Caenorhabditis elegans: one gene and its partner. The protein of the gene in region 1 purifies or fractionates together with the protein of each later gene. This does not show direct contact. Each region holds a gene or a part of one and is shown in the gene's direction. Other genes may lie near its edges.

Region 1 (8,513 bases):
AAGTCAGGTGATTTCCAAAATATTCTATTAAATATTCAAAAATTTTCACGGCTATTTGAATAGAGTAAACTGTGGCCATATTATTAACGAGTGAGAAAGTGCATGTTTACTTTACCATTCGCTTTTGTACTTTGATTTCGCCTCTATGAACGTTCAATGTCCTGCACTTTTTTTGTCACGATTGTTTTTTAATTGTGGTGTTCCTCGTTCTCTATCATTCTTTTCATCATTTATCTTCAGATTTCTTATTTGAAATATACCTTTTGTCACTTTCTCTTCAGGTTTTTTAAAAATATAGTCGGTTTATGAATTCCAGAAATGACTGGCACAGCTTTATCAGATGTTCATATTCAACAATGGCAGCTTGAAAAGGAGAATAATGAAAAAAGAGTGTACAATCTATGCGAAGTATGCTTCAAGCCCTTCAATTTGGCTAATATAGATATGCATTTAGAAGCGGGGTGTGCTGCGGAAATGTAAGTTGTGGGAATTTTTTAAAGATAATTTTTTAAAAAGATTATCCAAAAAATGGCAATTGAATCGATAATTGTTTTCAAGTAGAGATATTCAATTTCAGTTACAACCGATACAACTTAACACCGATCGACAACAACAATAACTGTCAAAATTCCACCTCTTCACAGCAAAACAACATGACACACAAACCGAAGAAAAGTAAAAAGGTACTCCGTTATTTTGTGAATTTTTTAAACTTCTTTAAAATTTATTTTTAGGTTATTCGAGTGTTGAAAAATAAACGGAAGAAGAAGGCGACATCAAAATAGTTAATAATTGTTTCATTCACAAATTTTTTCTGTACAATCTATTTGTGGTACCTGAACGATCATCAGCGACGGTTTTGAAATAAGATTTTAATAAATTGGTTAGTAGAGTTTTGATTGTTGTGATCAGATTTGGTTTTGAAGTTCGAAGAAAAAATTATACAGCTTACATTTACACATAACTCGCATTTTTGTAAGATATTTGAATTTTAAATACAATTCTATTTATAATTTTCCGGATGTGCGTTGTGCAAACTACCCTATTTCAGGCTGTGGAATGTTGGCTCCTTCAGCTGATACCAGATATAAATTACAAAACAATTTTTTAAATATCGTGTTTCGTTTTGAAATAATTGCTTTAGTATTTTCTTGCGCAAACGATCATGACCAAAAGCTCAATTCTAACAACAAAATTTTTCTTAACAACTAATCAACTAGTCACACGATTTAGATCATTCAACTTCAGACCAATGTCAGAATTTTGAATTTTGTGAATAACAGACCAGTTTGATGGAAAACATAAAAGCAGGCCAATTTTTATGAACTCAATTAGTGTTTCTCACCTAAAAAAGATCACAGAGTAATTTTCTACGACAAAGGAGATTCGCGTTTGTTCTGCCGCAAGTGGGTACTAGTAAATCGCCTGTAACTGGTCTGTAATTTAAAAAACCAAGAGTACAGGCACGTAACACTTCTGTATTTGAAGTAGAGGTGTTTTACATCTGCTCACCCGCGACATACCAAACGCAAAACACCAGTGGACCAAGCACCAAGCTGGAAGACTTTTTAACATCTATATAACAGCTCACGTTTATATCCTTTACTCAAAATTAGACTGATTCATTACGCTGAACTTTGATGTTTTATTAAAACGTATTTTCAGATACTTGTTATCATGTATGAGTAGCTCAAAAATTGGATATGAAAAATATAGAGAGAAAAAAGAGCAAAAGAAAATTGGTCCAATTTGTCTTATTTACATCTTGCAATTCTTAGTTCCAACTCTTTCCACTTTTTGGCGTTGCCCTAGCTTCCAATCATCTATGTGAACCTCTAGACGCTATAAGGCTTCAATTTCGCAATCAGGTCGTTGGTTTACTCTATCTCTGACTTTGTTTTCTGGAGCTAGAGCATGTCGAAATTAAAAGATACGTTTTGGAGAGCAGTAGAAATAGAAAAAATTGGAGAGGAAAAGAGTGTGAGAGAGTCTAGTTTGGCACGCGTGACTAACACTGCTCGTATTTCAAGAGCAATCACCATTTTTTCCGTTTTTCTGTCAGCTTGTCATCGGGACGTGTATGGGTTGCAAGTTTTTGTGAAGAATTGAGAAGACCAAGTTTCATGAAAAATTCTAGTAGAAAATCAAAACAAAAACAAGCTCATCAAAGATGGAAGAGACCGATTCTATTTTTCACATTTCAGACCAGTTTGGTCAGTGATCTCGTAATTCAGAGTTTCAAAAGAACAACATATTTTTCTTGAATATTTCCGAAAAACATCAAAATTGATTCAGAGTTAATTTTTCAGCTGTTTCTAATTGAAACATACTGCTAGATGATTCCTTCAATGAGCCCACGATTTCCATCTTGGATTTTTATTTAATTTTTCTTTTCATTTGCAATTTTTATCTCAATATATAAAAAAAGCGTTCGGTGTATACACAAAATCCAAGATTTACTGAAAATGAGAACTCCGAGTGATGTCATGGACCGACATTTTCCGGGATCCAGCCGCACCGACCGAAAATCTTAAAACGGTAAATGTCGGATCAAGATAATATTCGGAGTTTCGATTTGAACTTAGTTCGGGAAATTTTTCCTAGTAATGGACGTATTCTAAATTTTAGAGTTTGTACGAAACTCCGCAGCAATTTTGTTATTCCGAGGTAATATTGTTCGGTAGAAAATATTCGGGAGTAATTGTTTTTGTTGATACATTGAAAAAGTGAAATAGCTGAAACTATATTTATTGTTCAAAGTGCCTTAAAAAATTGCAAAAACCGGGGTTATTTAATGGCACATATTGAAAATTTCAGGGGAGCGCTAGTTATCTAAAATCTCATAATTTCCGTCTCGTTGCGGTCGAAAATAAGTGCTCATTTTAAAGTTGTCCGCTAAAAAAAGGTGTTGAGAAATTTTCTTAGGATCTCATCATTAAATGTGGGATTTTTAAAGTATTCTGTCTTTTTGAAGATCAAAACAAAAAACTCAAAAATATACTTTTCTGAATTTTTAATATGATTTTTTGAAAATTAGAAAAATCTCAGTTTTCGCTACTTTTTTGGAAGTCGTCGATCTAAAAAAACTTCGAAATGTATGTTTTAATTTTGTTTTCAGTAACAATATCAAAAAACATTTTTGAAAAGTTTTACGAAGATATTTGGTGATTTTGGATCAATAGGAATAGTTTTTAACAACTTCCCCAATGTTGCTACTTGTCCTTTGAACAATAAACCAAGTTTTGCTACTTTAAATTTATCACCCGCTCTTTTGCATGAGATAAAGGATTAAAAATGTATTCAATTCGTATACCAAAAGCATAATCTCTCTCACTCATGATATCTCGAGCGTTTTGTTTCTGGAAAAAACATCAACTTTTTCGTCGGCGTCACGTATTCAGAATGCAAGACGCAATTCAATCGAGTTGTTGTCCTCTCTCTACTGCTGTCGCCGTCTTCTCTCTTTCTTCGGGTCCCAAGTCCACGTTCCGCCTCGTTTTCTCTTTTTTATCCGCTTTTTTCGCAGTATTTCTCATAGTTTTTTTTCGGTTTAGCTTCTCATCGAAATCCTCAATCTTACTATTGTTTGGTTTCCTCGTTTGCGTTTCATGATTTTTTTGTTTTAATAATTGCAAATAATTAATTAAAGATGTTATCTTTTTTGTAGACATCATAATTGCTATGAACGGAGCTGCGTGGTCATTAGAGCTACTGAAAGGATGGATGCTCTCTTAAAAACAAAAAGGACTGCACTTATGGACAGGTTTGTCAGTTTCCATAACAACTTTCAAAAATTAAAAAATCTGAATAATTAAATCACTATGGCATGTTTTTTGTAGTAAAACGATGACTCAATCAATTTTAAAAGAAGCCAAATTCTCCGCAACATCTCAGAATCGACTTGTTAGTCAATTAAGATTTCTCGTTTTTTCCCTCCCCACTTTTCTCTATATACCCTTAGTACCCTAGCATTTTGGACATCGTCCTGAATAGAATCATCTCATTAAATTTGCACTTCCACCATTTCCTTTCAACTGACCACCAAAAAAAATGAGTCGTTGCTGGCGTTCCAATTCGTTTTCTCAAGGCTGTATCCGTGAAAGTTTAAGTGACGACTACATGGATTTTCATTCCTGAAAGCCAGATGGTCATTTCTGTTTTTGCAATTTCACTTTGAAGATGTGTTCTAAATGGAATTCTAAGCTTTTAGTATTTGTAAAAGCTACCTATCCGTGAAAAAATTAAGATTTTGAAAATAAGAACATTGGAAATTTTTGATTCGCTTTTAATTAACATTTGAGTTTTAGTAGGTACCGCAGATTTTGAATTACAATGAAAAATAGCATTTCTTCACTGAATTTCAAAATTAACATTTTTTACGGAAAAGTTAAGTTTATCTCTTTTTTTTCAGTAGTCTTTTTTTAGCAAATTTTTGATAGTAGCTACCTTATAGTTATAATAAAAACAAACATAATGTTAGGCGAAATTTCTTATTTTTCAATTTTTAAAATAAAATTCTATGACAGAAAAAATAACTTTTGAATAGTATTTTTGTTTTCTAGTTTAATAGTTTTGTTGCAAAATTGTAGTTTGTTTTAAAATTAACATTATAATTGCTACCACAGATTTTAAGTTATAAAGAACAACATATTTTTTTGGAATTTTTTGGCTATAGTTTTTCTATATTTCGAATTGAATTTTCTGATGGAAAAAAATGCACGTTTTCTCAAAAGTTTTACAGTAGTTTTGTTGTAAATTTTGAATTTATTCAGAAATTTTATTTCAATTCTTTGTTGATACCTCCATACTCCAATATCTTCTTAAACAGTTTCATTCATTGCGGTTCATTTTCTATAATTTGATACAAAATATCAAAAGGACTCTGCTTCATTTTTAATATGTATTTAACCTTCAACTTTAGGTTTAACTTTAGAAAATCAATGACGGAATTAAAGCAATTTGATTTTTTTTTGAATTGTCTTAAAAATTATCAAAAATTTCTGAAAAAGTATCATTTTTGGCAATTATAGAAGTTTCCCAGTTGCTAGACAGATATGAAAATTAGAATAAACTGTTTCAAAACCAACCAAACATTAAACCATGAAATTCAAAATTTTGAAAACAAAATCAATACCGTTCTAGTATTTTCGCCGTTTTCCATAATCACTTGTGTCTTTTGTTGTATGTATGTAGTTCTGTCATATTTTTTCTCTTTCTCTTTTCTCTTCTCCACCTTTTTTCTCATTTTACCAAATTTTAACACAACACATACGTTTCCAAAAATGAGAAATAAAAATATCATAGCGTCACCAAAGGTCTGATACACTTTTTTTTGCGGGAAAAAACCGATTCTCTTTGAGATGTGTGAACAGTGTGATTCACTAACTCTTCTATGCTAATATTTAACAGCAACGGCTGTCGAACTGTATTTCAGGAGGTCAGTGTTATTTCAATTGAAAGATCGATTGGATTTTTCAACACACACACATAAGTCTGTCACTGGTTGTTTTCCATTTTCAAAGCAAACATAATTTTGTTTGCTTGTTGGTTTTAACTCGAATTATTGACGGAAAACAGATCGATTTTTGACCGAACATTATTCGTAAAGGCAACACTTGATTTTTGAATATCTGAAAAAAAAATCTGGTAAAAGTGATTAATTATCAAAACATTTTTTTTTGCATAAAATCTTCATTTCACTCTCTTAATCCTGTTTTTCACATATGCTCCGTAATCGTCCGGTGTCTTTTCCTTTCATTTTTTCTTCAGTTTCCGTCAAATAAGGAATCTGATTAAAACTTCTGTTTCCCACCAAAAACGGAAGTTTTTTTTTTCAAAATAAGTTACCCACCAAAATGTTAATTTTAAAGAATAAAAAAAGCAAAAGTGGTCAATGATTCCATCGACCTTTAAAGTTTGGATGTAGTTTACAAAATCGGATTTAATATTTTTCGCGGCAAACCAACTTGAATATCCACATTTTGCACAACACAAAAACCTGATTTTATGATTTCCAATCTCCATAACGTATAACCGTGAATCCAAGTATTCATCCTGCGGGAACCACTCAAAAGGTCATCCAAATGGTCATTTTGTTGATCCGTGACACTTCTTCCTTTCCTTTTACTCTTCATCTCTTCTTCTCGGTCGTTCGCATTAGAGAATTTGACACAAGATTTATATTTCTGACGCCTTTTTTTTTTTTAGATAATTTCGGGGTCAAGCAGGTGTTTTAAAAAGTGTTTTGTTTACGTTTCTTTTTGGATATGCTCTCATAAAAATAGATTTGTTATTTTGACGTCAGACGATAATATGAAAATGTTTACTGCATAAAAATTATATGTAGAGCGATCATATAGCAATAAAATGAGTCATAAGTATTTTAAAATTGCGAAATGAACATAATTGCTTCATGATTTAAACGTTTATAATTACTGTATATTTTTTGTGGTATTGTACAAGGTTTTAAAACATTTATGTTTTTTTGAAGAGGAGTACGATTAGTAGGAATGTATTTAAAACTATTTCTAGGATCCTCACATAAATATATATCAAAACAAAAAAGTTCAAAAATTTCAGATTTTTTTTTGGATTAAAAAAGCAGAGAAAACTAGGTTTTCGGTTTATTTTAAAAATCGTCGACCACAAAACATTTTTTTAAATTCCAGGTTATGTTTTAATTATGCCACAAATTATCTTATTTTATCATTTCAAAAGCTTAAAATTTCTCGAAAAGTGGTGTAATTTCGGTTTTCATCACATCTTGCATCAAAATATTAACATTTTCAAAATAAGTTGAAACGTTTTTTTTCAAATATTTTGTCGTTATAGCAGAAGAAAAATAAAGTTCAATCATTCTCCCACTGGCCATACCCCACCTTAAATAGGGAAGCAATTCTGAAATACAGACGATGAATTTACGGTGTGCTGTTTCATAGAGAAGTAAATATAGCAATCTCTAAAATAATTTTAAAAAATTTTGTTTTTTTTTAAATAATCTACCCAATAACACCGTTAAATTTACATATCAATAATTTTTCCATCGATCCGGTGAAACCACTGTCTTAAAGGTGGGGTACCGAAATTTGAGACTTTGCTTTTTTTGACCCAAAATGGTCCAAAACTACCGAATTTGGTAATGAGACGTTCCGAAAATTTTTCAACAAAAAGTTAACGCAAATATGACACAATTTTCCGTCCCCATTGGCCCAAAAAGCGTCTCAATAAACGGAACAACACGTAATAAAATGCCAAAATATGCTTTAAAGGATGATAATCAAATAAAAATTAAGTTCCAACCTTTTCTCGGTATCAACTATCAATTTCAGCCCAAGTTTAGCTGTGTGGTATGCTACACCAGACTACGCTCTAGTTTCTAGTTTTTTGTCAAACGATTGCATCTTTTTTCAACTTTGATAAAACCATATTCAAAAAAAATGAGAAAAAAATATACCTACCAAAAATTTCGAAAAACTATCATAGAGTCTCGTTCACAAATTTTGAACACCTCGTGGTTTCCGCAAAAAAACTAATGTTTGCTAAGAACTTGTTAAACGAAATGTCAAGATAATGTTGATCTCTAATTGTAAGATGCAACATTTGGCAGGACTCGAAGTTGTTTGAAGTAGCAATTCGGTAGCAAATGTAACACATCGTTTTCTCCATTTTGGGTTTTTTGATTAAAGTTTTTTGAAAAACTGAAAATTCAAGGTGAAAATATGAGTTTTTCAATAAAAAAAAATTCTCTCAAATTTAAGTAGTTAACAATGTATTAACTGCACACTGGACTAAATCGTATTACGTTAAAACTGAAAATGCCATAATTAAAATCTATGATATTTTTTTCTTACCTATTAAATTCAACAATGTTTTAATTTAAAGTTGTTTATATCTATTAACGTGAAGTTTAGCAAACAAAATCTGTGTGAACTAGTTCCATAGACAGCTTGAAAGTTCTGTTAAATTTCGAATCCTTGACTCCATCCCCCCTCGTTCCGGCTTCTCACCTCGCTCTTTCCCCCCGCAGTCAGTCGGCATTGCTCTATTTGCTCAACTGATTAACAGTGCTCCCGTCTATCTCTTAGGAGCTACACAGATTCGGCAACTTTTTCCCCTTTCAACTTGTTACTCTCACTCAATCAAACAACATCCTGCTAACAACTGACCATTTAATCCCGTTTCTCACTCTCACTGGACCAAACCGTTGCCGATCGGAGGAAAGCCGTCGTTTTCACACCAGGTCACAAGTACGGCGGCACGACAGTGTTTATCTTGGCTAAATCATAAGAAGAATTGACCGTCTCGTCGTTTCGGGTTCTTTTGACAGTGATTGAACGTTTTTGCCTACACACCTAAGAAATTTTACAACCCGTGAACTGCCTTAAGCGCCGTATTTTCATCAATTCTATTTTTTTTTGTTTTTCGATTATCATTTTCAAAAAATGCATGACATAGTTCGTTAAAAAACAACAAAACTCAAAGTTTCATAATCTATTGCATTTCATTTTTTCAAT
Region 2 (7,446 bases), on another chromosome or scaffold:
ATTTTCATTTTTTTCATCTTCTCCTATTTTCTCTTTCAACGTCTTTTTCTGGCACCACCACCAGCAACGACACATAATCCAATTCTCTCCCCCATCGATCCCCGACATTATACATCCGCAAACCGTAATTACAAACATACTTCTGTGTCCTTTTCTGTCTGTTCAAATTCTGCCGAAATTCTGCTAATCGCGGCGCGGGACGGCCGGTTTGACATGACCCCCCTCAGGTTAAGCCCGATTTTTACATTCGATCGGTAGCTACATGGCTGGAGATCACCAATTTTTCTAGTTTCCATGAGATTTTTTTTAGTAGAAAAAACACTAGTTTTTGAAGTTGAAATGTGCATGTTTATAGTTTTATTTTTATTTTTAATTTAATTTTTTATGTCATGCGGTATCACTATTAAATACCAAATTTTTAGATTTTCCTTTGAGATATGTACAAACGTGCACCCATAGAAATGTGAGATATAATTTCCGGTTTTTTTCATATTTAGTTTGATCTGCCACAACATGCCAAATAAATTTCAAATATCTTATCAGATGCCAATTGGGTGGTGAGTGGCTATTGGAAATCAAGAATATCTCAGCGAATATTTGTGATATCTGAAAATTGTTAACTAACGAATTGTTTGAAATGTAATTTGCTACATTTTGTCAGTTTTGTGTTGTTTTGTTAACAGTTTTTTGATACCTCTAATGGCTGTAGAGATAGAAAAAGATGAAAATTGTTAATTGAAATGTTTTATTTCGAATTACTACTGCCATTCATACTCCGTACTGTTTACAGATTGTTCAAACAAACATTTAAGTTCTCACTCACTTGTTCAAAATTATTTCTTGTTCTCATCCTCTTCCTCCAAAAAATTGCTTATCACTGATTGGGTGTGGTTTGCCTAGAGGTGTCATTATCACCTCCAAGACAGTAGGATTAGCAAACAAAAAAAATTCTAAACTTATACAAATTTTGGTCTAAAAATAAATCTTGAAATTGAGCTGATTGGTCTTTGAGCAGAATTATGGAGTATAAAGTTTTTTGAAAGCAGCCGACATTGCGCGAGGTCGGCAAAGTACAGTGAGGTGTCGGCTGCTTTTTTTTACTACTAGGGAAACCTTCGCTGCACCCACTCGTAAATTGTAGGTCGCTTTTTCTTCCCACAACCCCGCTCCAAAAAAAAATTCCACAAGACCCCAAAAATTAGTTTTTCTAGTCACACACACACACACTTTCTGCAAGCTTTATGCCATCCTATCTCTAGCCTACATTATCTCTTGTTTATCAAGTTTTTGCGTCTTTTCCCTCGTATCCGATCAGACATGCCAATATCCACATACTGATAACACCCTGGAAGGTTCTTTGTCATCACTTCCCGACGGTGATAACAATATTCGTCATCATTTTTGTTGGCAGAAGAATTTTTAATTACTACATGTCTAGTTAGAATGAAGCAGCCGACTCTCCAAGATCCCTAAATGATCAGTAGGCAAAAGCAGCAGACACTTCGCGGGACTCAAAATGACTTGTCGAGCTAGACAGCCGACACTTTACGGGGCCGAAGTTTACTCATAGTAAGAAGCAGCCGACACTCCACGGGCCCTTAATAGCAGAAGCAGCCGACATCTAACTGTTCACACAACAGTCGGTGAATGTTGAATCAGAGAGTTAGTAGCCGACATCTGGCGGTCGTCGAAGGACGATAATTCGGAGGGATTGTGGCGGACATCTCACGGGTCCCAAAATTTTATATTTGGAGTGGCGGACGTCTGAGTGGAAACCCATTTGCAACTGTAAAATCAATGAAGGATATCTAATTATTTAATTTCCAATTTCTCCTCGAGAAAGCGAGAGTCATAAATAAAAATGCTTATAATATATATCTGGGGGTGGAAGTGATCATTTGTTGAAAATCGAACGTCGGGTGAAGAAGAGATAGGTTCACACACACACACCCAGGAGGCAACAACGAGGCGAACGATAAAGCCACCGGAGACGCAGACGGTCTTCGGATCTGGTTCGGCGTGTTGAGAGGGGGCATCAGCCGGTTCCTCTGAGGAGGGGGAAGAGGGGAGACGAAGAAGAAGATACCCCCGTCCGGTGAAGCTTATTATCCGACAGGCAGACGATTGTTGCTTTGACTTCTTCTTCATTGCCCACTTTTGAACACTTTTCAACAGGTCTCTCAAGATTTTTGGCAACTTTTTTTGCGACTTTATAGGGAGATTATCGGCTGGAGATTATGCAACATTCATAACTTTTAGTAGATCAATGATTATTGTGTAGAATTGGCTTCTTTTTCCTTGCTTAAAAAAAAATTAAAAATCCCCGAACAATTTCCAGCATTTTTTCATTTGAAAACTTCTTTCTAGACCTTACTGTTCCTGAGATACAAGCCTTTTTAGTCCAATGGGCTAGAGAGTGTGGAGAGGAGAGAGACGCAGGGCGCCTCGTCGTCGGCGTCTCCCCTCCCTTCACACTCTCTAGCTTTGCTCTCGCTAAACTGTGTGTAACTTTTTAACTGTAAAAGATACAAAAAAGTGGCAAGAGGCAAAAATGATCAGCATAAAATTTTCTATAAGCTGAAATCAAAATCTTTGGAAAATTCCAAAAAAAAAACTACTACAGCTGTCAGTTTTCAGCCTTAATTTATTACAGTGTACCTACTACAACTACATTTCCCTTGAATTTCCTCCAAAACTTTACAAAACGTTACAAAACCAAGCGAGTTTGTTTCTTAAGCATTTGCATAAGTGGTTTACAGTCCTCAGAAACATAGACACTTTGTTTATTCTCCCCTCCCCCCCCCCCATTCAAAATGAAAGCTTCTAGAATTTTCTCGTAGTTTACTTGGTAATGTATGCATGTGTAAACTGTAACTGTATATAATTGTATATATATAGAGACGTCTGAAACTCACAAAAACCACTTGAATAGCATTCTTGTGTGACTTGTGGCTTTTGGTGAATCTCGGCGAGAGTCACACACTTTTTATTCATTCACTATTTCCGTAAGGCTGACATGCCTAAGTGCCTGCCTACCGCCTATTTTTTGATATTTTCTCCGTATAAATTATTTTTAATTGTATTGAATTTCAAAATCAACAATTTCAAGCATTTTAAGATTTTCAAAACTGTCGAAGTCTAACTTTTCGAAAATTTCCAAAATATTGGAAAAAAATTATTTTTGGCAATAGGTAGTTTGTAGTTTGTAGTTTGTAGCTTGTAGTTTGTAGTCCGTAGTTTTAGCAGGTAGTTTGAAAGTATGCAGCTTTTTTTTGTTTAAAGTTTTGTATTCGTATACTTAAATACTTGTTAGAAATGTTCAATAGAAATTGTTCAAAAATATACATAGTTTGTGGTCATTGTAGTTTGTAGTTTGTAGTTTGAAGTTTTAATTTTTATTTACCTGTTTTCGGTCAAATATTCTTTTAACAATTTCCAGTTTTCTCAGTTTTCTAAAGAAACTGTTATAAAAAATCCTAAGCCGCTCTTCAAAATTTTTGTTTTTTTTTGCCGTTTTTGTGGAATCATACCTCTAAAATTTCAAATTTCATTACAGAATGCATCCCAAACTGGACCCTATCCTAATTCTCTTCCCATTCTTCTTCATCTCCTCCATAGTCGCACAATTCACATCGCAAACCTACCCAGATCCTCGATTAGATCCATTTTCATGTCGGTTGGCACTTCCATCGCAAGTCTGTGATCCGTCGGCTATCGTTTCCGATGAGGAGAGAAGTCGATTGGTGCAGAGGGTTAATCAATTGCATTCGTTGACTTCTGGAATTAAGAATACTTCTCCGTCATGTGCATTGATGCCTGATAGGAATTTGGAGGTGAGTTACTGAGTTGGACAATGTTGAAGTTGGTAGAAATGCGCCAGAAAGTCAACAGTTTCCGAAAATTTTTAATCCGGTTTAAGCCTAGACCTAGGCTTAGGCTTAGGCTTAGGCTTAACCGTAGACTTAGGTTTAGGCTCCGGCTTAGGTTCAGGCTTAGCCTTAGGCCTAGGCTTAGGCTTAGGCTTAGGCCGGGCAGAGCAGAAAAAGATTTAAAAAACGAAAAATGAAACAGTCCAAAGCCTGGCCAAATTTTTTTTTCGAACTTGCGTCAGAAAGATTCCAACCTTTGGCAGAAGCTTGCCAAGCTAAATCACTTATTTTTCAGATAATTGTCGCGATAATCGACAAAATCGGAAGTGTACCAGGTGTTCCAGTTGACATTGAAAAATTCGCCAATAACTTGAAAAGAAGATACCAAAACTTCCAGGTATGTCTTCTGAAACTGCTTTTAATTCTTAAATGTTCCTGTATATAATTTCAAATTTCAGGACGTTGGAATGTGCGACACTACAGTGCTCATCGTGAATTCTAGACAAGATCGTCAAGTGTTCACAGTTGCTGGTAGAGATGCCAAGATCTCGAAGGACACGTTGAAATCTGCATTTGAACGGAATATTGGGCATTTCAAGACAGGAAGATATGCACTTGGGCTGGAAGGAATGATTGAGGTCATTGTGGCAGCTTACTCGAATGCTCATATTGTGCAGGTCCCGACTCCAACTGAGTTTAGACCGACTGAGTGAGTTTTGGGGTTTTTTTGATTAGCGGCCCGCCAGGTGTCGGTTGCTATCTTTAGGAACCAGTCGACACATGAAAAACTGAGAAAGCCGCGGACATCTCACGGGCTTGAAAATAGTCTGAAACTGGCTTTTAGTAGACCTTGTAACAAAGGTGCAGCCGACATTCGGCAGGCTACTAAAAACACAGCTGATAGATTATGGGGTGCTCAGATAATTGCTGCAGCCGACAGCTCACGGGAATTAGTCGAAGCTGCAGCCAACACTTTCCTGGTCCTCTTTTTCAAAACTTACGATCAAACTTCCAGATTCATGCCAAACCCACCTGCGGTCTCTGCTGTTGAATCCCAACCATTCCGGGCCGCTGGTCTCCCGAACAGTGTGCAACAGGCAAAACGCCCATTCCCAGCTTTCAACACGATTCATGAGAGCATTGATGAAGATGATAAGGTAAATTTTGACAGAAGATTTCTATTTTTAGCCTAATTTTTTGAATATATTTAGGTCTGGGTATCAATCCTTCAGCAGGCCATGGCCCGATGTGGACAGAACGATGCAGATCTTCCAAAACATGTCAGAGCAGTTGTTGAAGGTTCGTTCAAGCTTTTTTAATAAAATTTTATATTAAAATTTTATATTTAGAAGCCATGAGTATCTCCTTGAAGCTGATTTCCGACTCACGTTACAACAAGATCGAGGAGGAGACCGAGAAGAACAAGGAAGTACTTGGAAACCGACAAAAGTGAGTTTTTTTCCAGACCCGTTAGGTGTCGGCCGCTGAACAGCCTAGCAAAAATACGAATTATTTTCAGAGCCTGGGACGGAGCCACCAACGACTTCATCCGCCCACTCTTCCAGAAGTACCGCAACTCGATCCTTTCCGGAGCATCACAAACCTGCCCGGTTAGCGCCGCGGGCACCAGAAAACGAAGACATTTCTAAATTTTGTATATTTTCTCTAACAATTTTCCACGACGGGTCACACATATCCTCTTAATTCCATTTTCAATTTTTCGATGAAAAAAAATCAATAAAAAATCCACGTCATTCCACGTTTTTGTTGTTATTTACACTTGCTCACAAAACAAAAACAACACTTTTTTCAATCATCGTTTAATTTCGTTTCCCATCTCGTCATGCTACGTCTCGAAGAGGTAAGTTAATTTTCAGTCGGTATTTGTTGGCTGCTTGAGTCATGCTTAGTCCCACGAGTTGTCGGCTGCTATTTTTGGGAAATTCTCAATTTCATAATACAAATCTTTTTTCACATTAAAATTGTTTTTTTTCTTTGCTAAAAATAATTCGGGTCCATAATGTCCCATAAAGTGTCGGCTGCTCGAGTCGGTTGCAAGTTTTAGGCGGTCTCAAGATGATTTCAGTTTAAATTTTAAACTCGCGAGGTGTCGGCTGCCAAACTAATCGGGGCTTTGCCAAAACTTATAGCATCTTCTTTGGAACCCATCAGATGTCTGGTTTTAAAAATCAATAATTTCCAGGACGAACCTTCCCCCGGAATCTGTGACCAGCTCCATGAGATCGTCCGCTCCATTGGCCTTCTATGCTACGTCGCATGCCCACCCATCCCATCGGAAATCATCCGGAAATTGGCATTCCACCCGCCAGACAAAGGAGCCACCTATCGGATCGAGCTGAAATCTGATCCGGAGAAGGATCTGGAAAGTGTTCGTGATTGTCATGACGAGCCTGTTCAGCTGGTGGTTAGGGATCGTGTGCATCCTGAGGTGAAAGTGTTCTCGGTTACAACATCTGAAGACAGTCATCTTGTGTGTGTTAAGTGCTCCCCGAATTGCTATTCCAAGAATCCAGAGGTCGCGAATCAGGTTAGTCATAACCTGCAGAGATAATGTCGGCCACAATTTTAAAAATTACCATAAATCGTCGGTTGCTTCCAGGTCGTACTCTTCTGCCAATCCAGCTCTGCCGATCTTGGAAGCTTCCTTCAGCCCAACTCCATGAACTTTTCCACGTTTGCTAACTTGTTCGAAACGGATGTATACGCCTTCGACTATTCAGGGTAAGAGTGCAATCGCGCTCTATGAATAATCATTGTTCGTTTTCTAGATACGGCTTTTCCTCGGGCACCCAGAGCGAGAAGAACATGTACGCCGATGTGAGAGCGGTATATGAACATATTTTGAAGACCAGACCGGATAAGAAGGTAGCTAGGATCAGGAATGTCCGAGATTATTAGAGAAAGATAATTTCAGATTGTAGTAATTGGATACAGTATCGGAACGACTGCAGCGGTAGACTTGGCAGCTTCAAATCCGGATAGACTAGTTGGAGTTGTGCTGATTGCTCCGTTGACCAGTGCACTGAGGATGTTCTGCAACAATCCTGACAAGGAAACGACTTGGTGGGGAGACTCTTTTCTCAGGTAGACCTGTTATGTGTCCGCTGCTAGTACTAGAACGGATAAAGCCGTTATTTAGATGTCAACTGCAAATACTGCCAAGTTAAAACCGTCAGGAATCTTCTGCTAGTTATCTCTAGTTTTAAGTCGTGAGGTGTCGGTCGCTGGTTTACTAAAGCTTGCAAAGCGTCTGCTGCTATCTTTCATGCGTTCAAAACCGTTAGGTGTCGGCTGCTAGCGCTCCCAAAATAAAAACAGTTAGCCATCAGCTGCTACTACTCTGTTAGACCGTTAGGTGTCGGCTGCTTGCAAATCATCTTGATTTTCTATGTACCCATACTTTCAGCATTGACAAAATCTGCCACATCAACACCCGAGTGCTCATCTGCCATGGAGACCATGATCAACGCATCCCAATGACTCATGGAATGGCTCTCTATGAAAATCTCAAAAACCCAGTGCCACCACTGATCGTCCATGGCGCCAATCATCATTC

The links. The genes of interacting proteins can lie anywhere in the genome.
Region 2: the proteins of ncr-1 (region 1) and F01D5.6 fractionate together in Caenorhabditis elegans (co-fractionation; one large-scale study listed by BioGRID). This does not show direct contact.

What each region holds. Positions count from the first base shown.
Region 1 is NC_003284.9:4,484,010-4,492,522, reverse strand, and holds the start of ncr-1 (NPC intracellular cholesterol transporter 1 homolog 1), read left to right. Parts: upstream 1-3,665; 5' UTR 3,666-3,763; intron 3,764-5,358; exon of another isoform or gene 5,359-5,408; intron 5,409-8,238; exon of another isoform or gene 8,239-8,340; intron 8,341-8,513. Other genes in the region: F46H6.5 (uncharacterized protein), read left to right, coding at 319-476, 578-683, 735-785. UniProt on the Caenorhabditis elegans protein: Involved in the uptake or utilization of cholesterol. Ncr-1 and ncr-2 act redundantly to prevent dauer larva formation under favorable growth conditions, and are required for the normal functioning of ADF, ASI and ASG neurons.
Region 2 is NC_003280.10:14,002,954-14,010,399, forward strand, and holds F01D5.6 (TPM domain-containing protein), read left to right. Parts: upstream 1-3,556; 5' UTR 3,557-3,557; coding exon 3,558-3,833; intron 3,834-4,164; coding exon 4,165-4,266; intron 4,267-4,327; coding exon 4,328-4,578; intron 4,579-4,776; exon of another isoform or gene 4,777-4,882; intron 4,883-4,884; coding exon 4,885-5,026; intron 5,027-5,080; coding exon 5,081-5,168; intron 5,169-5,218; coding exon 5,219-5,318; intron 5,319-5,388; coding exon 5,389-5,518; 3' UTR 5,519-5,635; downstream 5,636-7,446. Other genes in the region: F01D5.7 (Serine aminopeptidase S33 domain-containing protein), read left to right, coding at 5,713-5,730, 6,073-6,417, 6,490-6,611, 6,659-6,755, 6,805-6,974, 7,297-7,446.